3 separate regions of the Mus musculus genome follow, and all the other regions are reported to be linked to region 1. The links are microRNA targets in miRTarBase. Many come from high-throughput screens and were not tested one by one. Region 1 holds a microRNA gene; each other region holds the end of a gene's coding sequence.

Region 1 (4,000 bases):
CCATTCTCACGATGTGCTCAACCTTCCAAAGGAGACTGAGTTTCCTAATACCATCACAGTGGCCTGAGCAGGCCAAGATGCAAGGATGGTCTTGTATCTCCTTGTTAACTGCTTAACTCTTGGGATTCTTGGCTTTTCAAGAAAACAAGACATGGTTTGTGTGTCCTCATAGCCTCAACTACAAGAGACTCAGGCCAGATCCCCACTTCAAGGCCAGTCTGGACAATGTAGTGAAACCCTGATTCAGAATAAAAATTGAAAAACAGTGCTGGGGTGTAGATTAGTGGTAGAGAGCTGGCCTAGCATGCATAAGACCCCAGGTTCCCCAGTACCAGGCTGAAAACCTCAAATAGGCCCGAGCTGTAGGCTCTTCCCTAGAGGAAATGGGAACCTTCTAATTCAAAGGATCCACAGGTATTCCCTTCCCGTGCAAGAACCACTCTGAACCTCCAGATGGCAGAGGCAGGCAGTAAGAGACCTGGAAGGCCTGTATTAACTGGACCCCACACGGAAAGGCTGCTCTCTGTCTGAAGAATGACAGCCTTTCCCAAGACGGCTGTTCTGAGCATGCATGGGACAGGCTGCCCTAGTTGCCATGGTTACCATACTCGAACTTGCCTCTCCTTGCCCTTCTTTGCCAGAGGTCAGTAGTCCAGGCCACTCCACAGACCAAAGCTGGCCCGGTGCAGCAGCTGACTGTGCAGGGACTGCAGCCAGTTCACGTTGCTCAAGAGGTGCGTGTCCTATCTGTCTATGTCGGGGCAATCAGACTAGTCCTGGGCTGTGGCTGGAGGTACAGGCACCTAATCCAGAGGGAGGAATGGAGCCAGCTGGGGACCCTAAAGGGCAGACAGTGGGGGCAATTGAGGTTTGAAGCCCTGCAGAAGTGAGGTTTCACTCTAGCCCTCGGCTTCAGACTTCATCCTGAATCCGTCCCCATCCCAGCACCTGACCACTCAGGACACAGGTCTTGTTGAAAGAGGGCTGGATTCGAATTCCGCTTCTTTCTGATAGTGCCCAGTTCGTTCCTCTCTTCTCTAAGGAGATCCCAAGTGGGGAATCTTCATTCGGGTGGCCATGAGTTCACAGCCGGGTGATACCCCAGTGTCTCTGTTTGTCCTCCAGAGCTCAGGCAGTCAGTTTCCCGCTAGGAAGGCAGAGCAGCAAGAAACCCGGCCCACGCCGCCGCCGGAGCCGCCGCCCCGGCCTCCCGGGCCTGGGCCAGTGTGCTGCGGCGAGGTCTTGCAGCTAGGCAGCGAGCAGCAGCCGCTCCATTACGAGCCGGGTGTGGAGCAGTGGGTGGAGCTGGTGGGCATGCTGCCCCCACACCTGCTCCTGCCGCAGCAGAGGGTGGTCTTCGAGCCACAGCGGGGGCTCTCGGCCCGAGCCAGCCCCGACCTGAGGGTCAGGATCCACAGAATGCCCCAGGTGCTAGTGTTCGGCACCGCCCTCAAAGTAGGTGGCGGCGGACAGCGGAGGCACGGCAGGGGGCGGAGGGCGGGCAGGGGAAGGGCATTCAGCCCAGCAAGCCGCTTTGCCTCGCCTTCAAGTCCAGGCTCCCAGGCTTCGCCCCTGCAACCCAAGGCGGGTGGGGTGAGATGTCTTTACCCTGTCCCCCAAAGTGCTGCCAGTCATTCTTGTTCTGCCTCAGGGACTGGGTCCCAGACACGGCTCCTGCAAACCAGGGTTGGGGGTGGAGGTAGGCTATCCAGTACCTGCCCCTAAGGTGTTGTCAGTTGTTTCTAGTTGTTCTATCAACTGATCCCTCTTCAGGCTCCACCCCTAATCTGCTTGGGAAACCTTTTTGGTTTCCAGAAAACCCCCAGGCCCGGTTTTTAGATTGCAAACCCACCTCTCAAGCCCATTGCAGAATTCTGTCTGGTATCCCCTCCTTTGCTCATAAGCCTTAGAAACCTCTTTGCCAAAGCAGAGAATCCCAGCACCTCCTGTTTTCCAGCCACAACTGAGACCTGGCCCCACCTAAGCCTCCTACCTAAGCCTCCCACCTCTGGCCCATGTTGTTCAGAAAACCATGATGTGCAACCTTCTAGATGGGGATGTATGTGGGCATCAGTGAACCCGTGGGTGGTGGTCAGCCCTGACCCATGACCCTGCTTTTCCTCCTGCTTCAGGTACAGCAACTCCCTCAGGTGCCTGTCCCACACGTGTATTCCAGCCAGGTGCAGTACGTGGAAGGTGGCGATGCCAGCTACACAGCCAGCGCCATGTAAGTGGGCAGAGGGTGGAAGGAGGGCTCAGATGTGGTTAGGGCCACAATTCTAACTCCCAGCTGGCCCCCAAGGCTCAGGTGATAGCCCCACACCTGTGGGGTGCCAGGAATATAGGCAGCTGGTAGCAGAAGAGACACTGGCCCATTGGGAAGGCACCTCCACAAATTAGGAGCTGTGCAGTTAGATGGATCTGGATTTTAGGCAGGAAAAGGGGAAAGAAAAAGCATACATATATGTATTTATACATACATTTTTACAACATAAACTTTTTTTGAGACAATGTCTCTCTGTATAGCCCTCACTGCCCTGGAACTTGATCTGTAGACCAGGGTAGCCTTGAACTCAGAGATTTGCCTGACACTTCCTCTCTCGTGCTGGAACCACAGGTTCTCAATCTGACCCTCAGTGTCCCACAGAGTAATTAGTGTGTCCCGTTTCTCTGCTTCTACTCAGAAGTGCTCTGAGCATAGAACTGTCCTGTTTGAGCAGCACTGGGGAGGCAGAGGCAGGAGGATTGTCTTTTGTTATATTGACTTATGTGTGGGGAGAGTGCATGTGCTGTGGTGCAGGTGGAGATCAGAGAACAACCTAGAGGAGTCCGTTTTCTCTCTCCTTTACACAGGTTGCAGGGGCAAATCCAGTTCCTCGGGCTTGCATATTCTGTCTTACAATTTTTCTTGGGGGTTAGGGAGATAAATCAGTAAATGGCTTGCTTCTTGCTTATCAGACCTGAGAAGCAAGGTCATGACCTGAGGTCAGAACTCAAGTACTAGGTAAGAGGTTCATGTGGTGAGTCTCTGACCCCAGAGCCACCTTGCTGGCCCTCGTGTGTGTGTGTGTGTGTGTGTGTGTGTGTGTGTGTGTGTGTGTGTGTGTGTGTGTGTGTGTGTATACACATGTGTTCGAGTGTGTGCATGGGATGATGGGGGGGGGTTGTATGCACCATGTATTGAGCGTAGTGCCAATGCTAACACTGGAGTCTGTTTGCTGTGTGGCTTTGGGGATCAACCCCAGGTCTTCGGTCTTGATGGCAAACATCCCCACCCACTGAGCCACCTGCAAGGCTCAAGTTTTCCTGCTTTAATCACTGTCACATTGGGAGGGCTCAAAGAGCAAAAGTGAGAGGTGGCCCTGCCTGTCCCCTCCCCACAGAGAGCCTTCTGCCTACACACAGGGTGGTCTTTTCCTCATCCCAACCTCTCGTTTCTGGCTGTCCATCGGTACCCAGTGGAGGACTCAAGGCAATCATGTTGCGTCTCCTCTTCCTGCCTCACCCCCTCTAGTCTGCAGCCTGCAGAGATGGGCCCAAATGTTAGGGTGGCTTGCTTGCTACAGTTGCCCCTCTTAGATCTGCGGCTTATTACCCTATGCGGCACTCAGGACATATTCTGAGTTGGAGGGGCAGCTCCCTGCCAGGAAGAGGTAGCCAAGGCGGCCCCTCTGCCTACCCTGCAGTCCTTTGTACTTTGCCTTCCCTCCTGTATCTCCCTTCCCTGGACTGAGAACTGTTTGTCGTTGTTGCCGAGGAAGTACGTTCTGCATTCTGGACCCTGTCTTGTTTTCTCCTCTTCTGCAGTAAGGAAATTGATTCCTGTGCTGGAGTGCAGTGGTTCAGTACCAGTGAGTGCTGTGGCTCAGTACCAGTGAGGAGAGTGATTCCTGTGCTGGAGTGCTGTGGCTCAGTGCCCAGCGAGGGCTGGTTCAATGGCTCAGCAGTGCTTGCTGCCGGGCTTTACAGTCTGAGTTCAGTCTCCAGGACCCACAGTGGA
Region 2 (4,697 bases), not on the chromosome of region 1:
ATCTTTTGCTGAGTCTCCTGGTGTTTGCCTGAAGAGTTAAGAGCTGGGTTCATCCTGTATTCGTGCACATCATCCTGGTAGCATTGACTTTTTCTGTACCTGTTTTATCACTGGTAGTAGCGCTAGTAATATTTCTCTTAGATTTAGCATGACACAGTCACAGGAACTGTCATGAATTGAAATTCTAGTATCTGCGACTTATCTGTGTGGGAGCATGGTCGCCATGGTAGACAGGAGTAGTTAGTTGTCTTTCTTTTAACAAGCCTCTCTCTTTTCTCCGTTTCTCTTCCTGACCCCTATAGAAGCCGAGGGCACCAGCATTCTGTTTGCAACCATCCTGAGATGAGGGCCCATTTCCATCTGAAGGGGAGAAGCTACCTGAAGAAAGCCAAGGATGAGCGAGCCGGGATGCAGCCCGCCAAGGCCATTCACGAACCGGCTGAGTCTCCAAGAGAATTCTTCAGACCAGCCAAGAAAGGGGAACACCTGGGTCTGAGCCGGAAAGGGAATTTCAGGCCCAAAATGGCTAAAAAGAAGCCTACAGCAATCGTGAATATCATCTAGAGCTTGGGTGGCTCGGAAGCATCACCACGGGGCTTACCAAATGATGTTCCAGAGTCCAACAGCGTTGTCCTTTTGGACATGTAGCCGTAGGAACGCAGGGAACACAACAAACAGGGTCACTCTGATTAACCAGAATGTAAAACAACCGGTTTCAGGAAACACGAGCGGGTAACTTCTTAAATAATTGGGCCAGTTTCTCGCAGACCTGGCACCCGGGGTTCCTCTACCCAGTGCCCATTAGTACGTGGGCCTCACAAGATGCCAGACTCTGGTATCCACTGCTCTCTGAATTATGAGGCAAGGAATGTGACTGTGAAGTTCTTCTACTTTAAAGAAAAATAGTATTTTTTGGTGTTCTGAGACAGGGCCTTGTTATGCTATGTAGTCCTGGCTGGCTTGGAGCTTTATATATATATACCAGGCTAGCTTTGAACTTGCAGCAATCCTCCTGCCTCTGCCTCCTGAGTGCACAGGTGTGCGCTACCACACCCAGCTGGGAGTGTAAAGTTCTTACCAAGAGCAGTGAAATAAAAGCAGAGCTTTTGTGGTTTGCGTGTAGACGCCCTTTGATACATTTGAAAGTCTCTACGGTAGAGGTTCGTTCCTGTTACCCTTGAGGATTCTGGTTAATCAAGATTTTAATCTCCGTGTGGGTTACAGGCCGTGTTTAGTTAGACCTCGGTTCTCACTTTGCCAGGTGGCTTTTGGGGTTGTTTGATTCACATCTGGGTCCTCCAGGGCCTATTTATTCAGGTCTGGGTGCACCCCTCCTGCCTTCTTTGGCAAAGCACGCTGCACCCCCAAGAGCTGTCTACCGGCCTCTGCAGAGATAGCTGCTAAAACCCTTGGGGTCAGCAGCATCTTTGATGTGGTGCCCAAAATGCTTGATGTGCTAGAGGGGGGCACACTCAGTGTACCATGGCCATCCTGGCCATGCTGTGGGCACGCCCACCATTCTTCTCCCACCGGCTACTCTGGAAGGCTTGCTACCGGTTACCTGTGAGCATGCTCTTTGCTAACTTCCGTTTCAACCCGGAAGCTCACTTTGCCTCCTCTTGCTTCTTTAGCCGGTGTACACTTGACCCCCTCCCAGCCACACCTCTGGGGTGTTCATTGTGCAGTGCATTCTATTGTAATTTCAGATGATAAAGAATGCATGCGGACTATGACCTGTGATACTACCCTCCCCAAATGACACTGTTCCTATTAAAGAAAAAAAAAACTTTAAAAAATCTCCTGGTTTAAAATTTTCTTCCAGAAGGAATTTATATATTTTTTTCCTTAAATTAAGCAACACCATCAGGTCTCTAGAGTGTATTTGTGCTGACATTCTTTCTAAAACAGGAATAATGTTGTCCATAAGTATATACATATATATATTACATACGCTATATATATGTCAAGTATATGAATAGTTTATTTTTAAATACTCCTGGAGAAAGTGTGTGTTTGTGGTGGGTGGCTTTAAAACTATATAGCTTTGTTTCTGTAAATCAAATTCCTTTACTTTAAAAATTAAGATTGTAACCTGACTAACACTTGTAGAATTATTGTTATTGCAACAAGCATCTGATTAGCGTATTACATTAAAATAGATAATAAAGCAGTTCCTTGGGATGACAATAAATTGAAAAGGATAACTCATCGTTTTCAGATACTTTGAACCTGTCCTTGTGGAGGAGAGGTTTCTGTGTGAGTCTTCACTGACTTCCGGCCTATGGGAGCAGATCTTCTGTGTGGTGTGCAGGCAGATTCCAAGTTGGGGAAAGAAACAGCTGCGTATCATATCACTGTTGAGGCTGACGTTGTGAAAGCTGTAATGTTATTATTTATCTGGATAAGAAATCTCCGCCATAGTTATTTATTGTTGATGTTTATATCATGGTTGCACTTTTGCTTTGTCCACACTGAAAACGTGACTTGCTGATTGTATCGCATGCTCCCCGTCCTGTAGTGTGTGCAGTAACAACACCTCAGCTTTGACAAACATATGGACAGATTTGTTTCCTCTTTTATTTAAAGTAAGTCATTTTTTGGTGTTCCTTTAAAGAGCCTAGAAGGAAGGACAGCCCTCTTTGACAGTGGTCCATGCTCGTCTTTGGATATAACCTTGTACTCTATATACACTACTCAAGACAAATAGTTTTAAGATTGACTTACTGAATTTAAAAACATCTTTTAAGTTTCAGCTGCATTCTGATCCCCATAGAAGGAAATGTGTTAAGTATAACAGACTCCCTAAAGACATAAATCTGCTGTTGAAGTATGGGAGCTGTTTTAACGGAAGGATCATTCACCTACATCATGGCTAAGTTCCATTTATATGTCATCTACACACACACACACACACACACACACACACACACACGCTCTCGAGTCCCCTCAGGCAATCGACCTTAGATTTGAAGCAGTGACTTTTTAAACAAATCACCAAAGTTTCTGGGAAACTGTTATCAAGAATTAACTGAGGTATACATTGAATTTTATTATTTATTTTGTAAGGGGAAAAGATCTTCATTTGAACTGTTGTGTCAATGCCCCACCCTCTCCCCAAACTATAACAGATTCTTATGTGTAAGTGCGGCTTGCTTGGAAGCTGTATTCCAGTATGCTGCAGGGCCAGTCAAATGTATAGATGTTAGAGTATTTCTGTTCCCAGGATGGAAAAAAAGAGAAGTTTTTAGATTATGAAATACTATGATAATAAAGCTATATTTCTGACTAACACTTTGGTCTGTTCCTTCTAGGTCAAGTGTTTTGTTTTTTTTGTTTTTTTTTGAAAGTCACATTTATTGCTCCACTAACAGCAAACAAAACTATGCTTCACAAATAAACTGTTCCTTTTGTACATAATGAGCATGCCCTTGTACACCAATCAGCCTTCAGGAAAACTGGCTCATTTATTTTCATACTTTCTAATACCTCTATCTAAATATTCTTTTTAACATATGTTCACACCCAGGGAGGCTCATTAAAAGCCCTCTCCACATCTTCCCTGTCTTCCTCGATGACTATGTGTAATTTTCCCAACACTTTAGTTTTATCTTGTCAACTCTTAGCGGAAACCATAAACAGATGTCCTAGCGTACCCACCCCAGCCTGTGGCTGCTGCACATCCTTGCCGCTGTACTAAGAGCAGGCTTCAGAGAGAGGAAGCACTCAACCGCTGGTTTTCTACGAAGCATGGAACTATGGGAACTCAGTGAATTCCAGTTGTTTCCAAGTTATTGGTGAGATGGCCTGCCTCTGCTCCCAATACTTAACTAGTGTTAGGCTAGTGGGTTTTCCATGTTACAGGTCTAAGCACTAGCATGATATTCATGATTATCCCCCAGCAGTTGAAAATGTTAGTCTCAGTGTCTTGAATTCCAAGGATGACATGCATGCTCAATCCTGAACAGGAGGCTTGGGCAGATTTCAAACACTAACAATGGGCAATGTTAAGAATTGGATTCCTCTAGAGGACTCACGACCTCACCATGGGGATCATTAGTTGCATCCATTTCACTCTGTCAGGCATTCACATGCTTTGTCTCATTTGCAGAAGCTAAGGGGAAATAGGAAGGCATGGGAGCAAGAGAGAGGTGCCAAGAGATGTACAAAGAAACGGGGGAGAAAGAGTAATAAGTCACAGAGGAGCTGAGATGATCCAAGTGCTCTATCCATACATAAAGAAATGACATAACAACACCCAACACTTCAGCTACAAAGAAAGTCTGTAATCTCAGTACTTAGAAGGTGGATCAAGAATTCAAGGTCATCCTCAGACACATCGCAAGTTCAAGGCCAACCCAGGGATACATGAGAGGCTATGGGAACAGAGAGAAAGAAAGAATTTAGATGGGAAGGAAGGGAGGGAGGAAAGAAGGACGGACAAAACCCTGCAGACGCTTGCAACACTGAATATCCACAGAGCACACAATGAACTCGACACTGTGCAGAACTCACAACAAGCCCCGACGTCACAATTTAGGCCTTTAAATGATAAACTTTAGAGGTGGCACAAACCTTGGTGACTTGGAGTTAGCATTTCTTAGCTAGGACCATGTGCCACAAGAGAAAACACTGACAAACTTACTCTTCTCAAAACACAAAACTTGATGAATGATTTGTTGGGAAAATGAAACAGACAT
Region 3 (4,697 bases), not on the chromosome of region 1:
CACTCTTACAGGTCTTTCCATCATTGGGGACCTCACTAGTCTAAGCAGGTTGCTCCAGCAACACTGCCCAATGGGCAGCAGACAGAACCAGGTCCCCGGGTCCGTCCCACCACACCAGGAACCTGTTACCTGCAGATGGTGGGACAGGGTGAGTGTTGATGCTTAGGAGTCTTAGATAAGGGGGCTTTATGGGGGCAGGGCTGCATACCTCTATGGATGTGGGAGGGGGGGTGTCTTTAGGACCCTGGAGTATATAGTTGGTGATGCTGCTAGGGTCTGGGGGGAGAAGTAGATTTCTTGGAAAGCAGGTTTGCCCCAGGCTATGGGGCTGAGCCAAAGGAGAAGGGGTGCTTTGCGGATGGGGACCCTGGATGGTCTCATTAGTCTGTACAGGTGATATTTGACGTTTTCTTTCTTTTTTTCTTTTCTTTTCTTTTCTTTTCTTTCTTTTTTTTTTTTTTTTTTTTTTTTTTGAGACAGAGCCTCATGTAGCCCAGGCTGACCTTAACTTGTGATCTGACTGCTTTCATCTCCCGAGTGCTGGGAATAATGCTATGGGAACACCCTATCCACTGAGCAACTCCTGAAGTGCGCTTTCCTGATAGAGTACCCCCAGAGTTCGGGACTTGGTAGCCCAACCCAGGGGGTTCCTGACTGCGGTTCCTAAAACTTTACCTTCTTAACAGCCCAATCTCCTACCCTCCCTGTGAGCCGAGAGACTCTGCTGCGAGGATCTGGGAGTGGCTCTGTGGAGTACTTGCCTCTCACGCAGGAGGCCCTGCCTACATTCCTCAGCACTGCAGAAAAACACAAAAGAAATCCTCTAGGGAACCCTGACTTCGGAGTGGTGTGACACTTGGGTCCCCTCTGAGGCTGGGTTAGCAGGGGGTGGAGTCATCCTTCATATTCATAAAACCAGAAGATGCTGAAAAGAGAGCAGACAGTGCTAAAAAACACGAGAGTAGAGGGCCTCTACTAGTAGAGGGACTGTCACATCCCCCAGAACTGAAGACACCACACCATGCTGATCTACCCACAGAACACAGAAACAGAGCTAGCTTCCTCCAAGGACCCACTGCAGCTGAACAGCAGTGCGGTCCCTTAAAAGGTTGGCCGGCAGAAGCCAGGCCCAGCCCTTTCTGGACACACAACCGTGGGAGTATGTGTGGTGGTCTGGGTCCTTATGGAGTCAGTCCTAGGAAGAGAGCAGGGAAGAGAACCTGAGATTCCTAAGCTTGCAGGAATAATAATATTAATAATAATATTAAAAAAAAACTTAGGTGTGATGGCACACACCTTTAATCCCAGCACTCGGGAGGCAGAGGCGGGTAGAGTCCTATCAATTCAAGGCCAGCCTGGTCTACAAAGAGAGTTCCAGGATAGCCAGGGCTATCTAAAGAGACCCTGCCTCAAGAAAACAATACAACAATAACAACAAAAGTCAGGTAAGATGCCAGGTCTATAGCTTTCTATGGAGAAGGGACTTGGGAGGGAGGCAGGCTGGGACAGATGGGTTTACCAGACAAAGGTTTTGGGGTAACCCTGAGGGAGGGAGCCACTGTTAACAAAACCAAAAACCAAAACCAAAAACAAAACCCAACAACAACAACAACAACAAAAAAACCCAATCCCTCCTCTGGATCAGTGCCCCCCCTCCCAAATAAAATGAAGGCATCCAGAGCTCTAGGCTGTGGAAATGGGGGTACAGTAGCTATGAAGCAGACTACACTGGCCCTCTCAGCCTGCCCCACTTGCGGTAGGTTGTTGGTTCTGTCTCCCCTCCAGGCTGGCCTCAGGACCCCAGGGCTTTTTCACTCATCGTATTGCCTACGTATTTGAATTAAAAATATACGGTGGCTCAAAATGTCCCCGAGTGTGCGCACATGAGGTGGGGGCCCTTGCCTGTGTCCTGCGCACACAGAATATATTAACATATATATTGCTCAAGTATATATGCTATTTACAGAATATATCTCTATCAACATAAAACATGTATTTATAGGTGTGTACAATACACAGTCTCATCCTAGCAAGTCTAGGGGTCCACACAGGGGGCAGGGGGCCAGCACACTTATATGGTGGGAAGGGATGACTGGAAAGGGAGACAGGAGGGGTTCTGGAGATGTGTACCCCGGACAATCAAGGCCTTCCAGAGAGAGAAAAAGGGGACTCAGGGGCCTCACTATAAAGCCCCGCCCACTTGGCCATTTCCCATTCGGGACCAGAAAATAATAAGATTTGGTTTTAAGGGTTTTGTGCAAAAGGAGTTAAAAAACAACAACAACAACAACAACAACAAAAAAAAAAAACCAAAACCAAAACCAACCAGAGTTGATTTTGATTAACATGCTGGGTTCTGGCTTCTACATGATTCTAGAAGAGTTCCTCTGGGTGTGTTTCTGTGGCCCAGAGAGGAGGGAAACACAGTTTGTACAAGACTGTGCAGGGGTAGATAAACATTCCCTCCTCTGACCTTGTTGTTGGAGATCGTGAAGCACAGGCTCGACAAAACACCCCAAGAGCAAAAAGTCTGGTGGACCCCCCGCAGTCCCAGCTAACAGCGCCATATGAAGGTGGTGGAACACTGGCATGCCCTGCAGGGGGTGCTATGGGGTCCTGGTGTCTTGTATCAGAGCTCTGCTCCCACTAGCCCTCCTCAGAAGACACGGCCAAGAGTCTTACGATACATCTTTGCATTTGTGTCTGTCCCCAGAGACACAGGGTGCTAAGTCTCACTGAACACTGGGTACCCTAATAAGACTCAAACAGGCTCCATCCCCTCCAAACAAAACTACTCTTTCCCCAGCCACCTGTATGCAAAGACAACGAAGAAGAAACCCCGCAGGGGTAATGTCTCTCTACAAATGCTTGAAGATAGCTGCCTCCCAGGTTATCACCGTGACCACAGATTGCTGTGTGTATTTCGGGCAGGTATATGAGCTGTGGGGGCTGAGGCCTCTTTATCCCCTAAAAGTGGGGCAGAGAGGATGATGGGGAATTCTCTAGGCTGGTCTAAGTGACAGCTGGGGAGGTGGGACATGGCCCAAGGCACCCTAGGCCTGGGCAGGTGGGGATGCCCACCGCTGAAAGAAGCCGAGTCTTTGCTTGCCCATGATGGGTCTGGGGAGAGCGAACAAAGGACAGATAGAAGCTGGCGCTCTAGGCTGGTGGGAGAGGGGGTGTCCTGGGATCCCCTCCAGGGACAAGTGCTCTGGGGGGAAGTTTGGCCCAGGGCCCCTCTTGGCAGTTGTAGAGGAAATCGACACAGGCCCTGTGTGGTCAGCAGGTGGGGGTCTAGAGTCTTGCCTTTCCTCCCCAGCTTAGGAGTAGGAACCCCACTGCTACTGTCTGAGGCTCACTGGCCATTATGACCTGAGGGTGGCCTGCTGACCTCCATTCTGAGGGAACCAGCCCCTGAACCTCTAAAACTAGAGCAGCAACCATAACCATCAATTCAAGGGGGGGCTCACGGGGGCTTCCCCAGCTCTGTACCCCCAATCTTGCTCCACCAACTCCCTAAGATGTCCCTAGGTGCATCAGGACCCCGATCCCAGTGTCTCACAGGAGGTGCCAGCTTCCTTTGGTGTTTGCTGCGGGCTGTAGGTGAGGCCTTGGGCTGGTCCCAAGTGTCCTGGGCCTCGGAGACCGCTTTCTGGGGTGGAACTTGGGGGAGGAAGATGGGCACACCCCCACCGAGCGGAAACAGAGTCATTACTGAAAAGGCTGGGGACTCTGGAAGGCAGGAGGAGGATGTGGGGGTGGCCCTAGCTCAGGCCCAGGCCTGGAGGAGTCAGGAATCAGGGGAGTGTCCCAGAGGCCCCTTCCTTAAAGGTCCTGGGGCCGAGCTTTCAGTCCATAGGGAAATACTGCAAGAATAACCTTCGTGGGGGGAAAGGCCCAGGTGGGCTGTGGCAGGGAGGAGCCCAGAGACGAGTCTAATGCTTCCCTGCTTGACTGACCTTCAGGGCATGGATAACCCCACTGATATTCTCTTCTGGAACCTGCAGGGCAGGACGCAAAGGGGGGAAAAAAAAGTGTGTGAGCCCAGGTACCTGGTCCCTACCCATACAGTCCCCACCTGTCCCCAGGGGCCACTTACCAATGCATGGTCGAACTTGAAAGTACTGATGTAATATGCTGGGATGTCTGCAGCTGCCAAGGGCTCTGAGATCTGGGCTACAATCCCACATTCATCTAGGGAAACACAGGTGCTCAGAGAAGGAGCTCTACCACAGAGCCACGCCCCCAGCCCCTCACTGGGGGATTCTAGGCAGGGGCTCTACCACTGAGCCACGCCCCCAGCCCCTCCCTGGGGGATTCTAGGCAGGTGCTCTACTGCTGAGCCACGCCCCCAGCCCCTCCCTGGGGGATTCTAGGCAGGGGCTCTACCATGGAGCCACGCCCCCCAGCCCCTCCCTGGGGGATTCTAGGCAGGTGCTCTACTGCTGAGCCACACCCCCAGCCCCACTGTATTTTTCAGCTTGCAGGATGGGTTAAGAGCCCTATGGTAAAGTCTACTTGTTGGTCTCCCGAGGCCTTCATATATATATGTCACACCATTGGCAAGAGATCTGTCAGAAATGGGGTTTCAGTCTCCAGCACACTACATAGGGTGGATCTGGCCAGGAACCCTGGGAACGCCTCCTGATTCCCGCATATAGGTGTTGGACCCCACAGGCTCACCAAATCCCAAGGGT

Evidence for each region. Region 1 holds the annotated microRNA mmu-miR-709 (GGAGGCAGAGGCAGGAGGA, at 2,727-2,745, shown strand). A microRNA usually pairs through its seed, bases 2 to 8, with sites in the 3' UTR of a target mRNA and lowers its output. Matches are read on the target gene's strand: a 7mer-m8 pairs with bases 2 to 8, a 7mer-A1 pairs with bases 2 to 7 and ends in A, and an 8mer does both.
Region 2: miRTarBase lists Zfp365 as a target of mmu-miR-709. Seed matches in the 3' UTR shown: 7mer-m8 at 1,013-1,019 and 7mer-m8 at 1,019-1,025.
Region 3: the mRNA of Castor2 is a reported target of mmu-miR-709. Seed matches in the 3' UTR shown: 7mer-m8 at 1,493-1,499 and 7mer-m8 at 1,316-1,322.

The regions. Positions count from the first base shown.
Region 1 is chr8:84,083,441-84,087,440 of GRCm38, forward strand. It overlaps Mir709 (microRNA 709), which reads left to right and starts at 2,659; the gene lies at 2,659-2,746. It overlaps Rfx1 (regulatory factor X, 1 (influences HLA class II expression)), which reads left to right. Exons shown (of 21, transcript NM_009055.4): 7 at 642-734; 8 at 2,133-2,227.
Region 2 is chr10:67,884,697-67,889,393 of GRCm38, reverse strand. It overlaps Zfp365 (zinc finger protein 365), which reads left to right. Exons shown (of 5, transcript NM_178679.2): 5 at 303-3,289. The coding sequence ends at 564. Among named protein-coding and RNA genes, the nearest start is that of Zfp365, 26 kb to the left of the region's middle.
Region 3 is chr5:134,137,533-134,142,229 of GRCm38, reverse strand. Castor2 (cytosolic arginine sensor for mTORC1 subunit 2) reads right to left here. Exons shown (of 9, transcript NM_030719.3): 7 at 4,684-4,697; 8 at 4,100-4,194; 9 at 448-4,001. The coding sequence ends at 3,936. Among named protein-coding and RNA genes, the nearest start is that of Rcc1l, 37 kb to the left of the region's middle.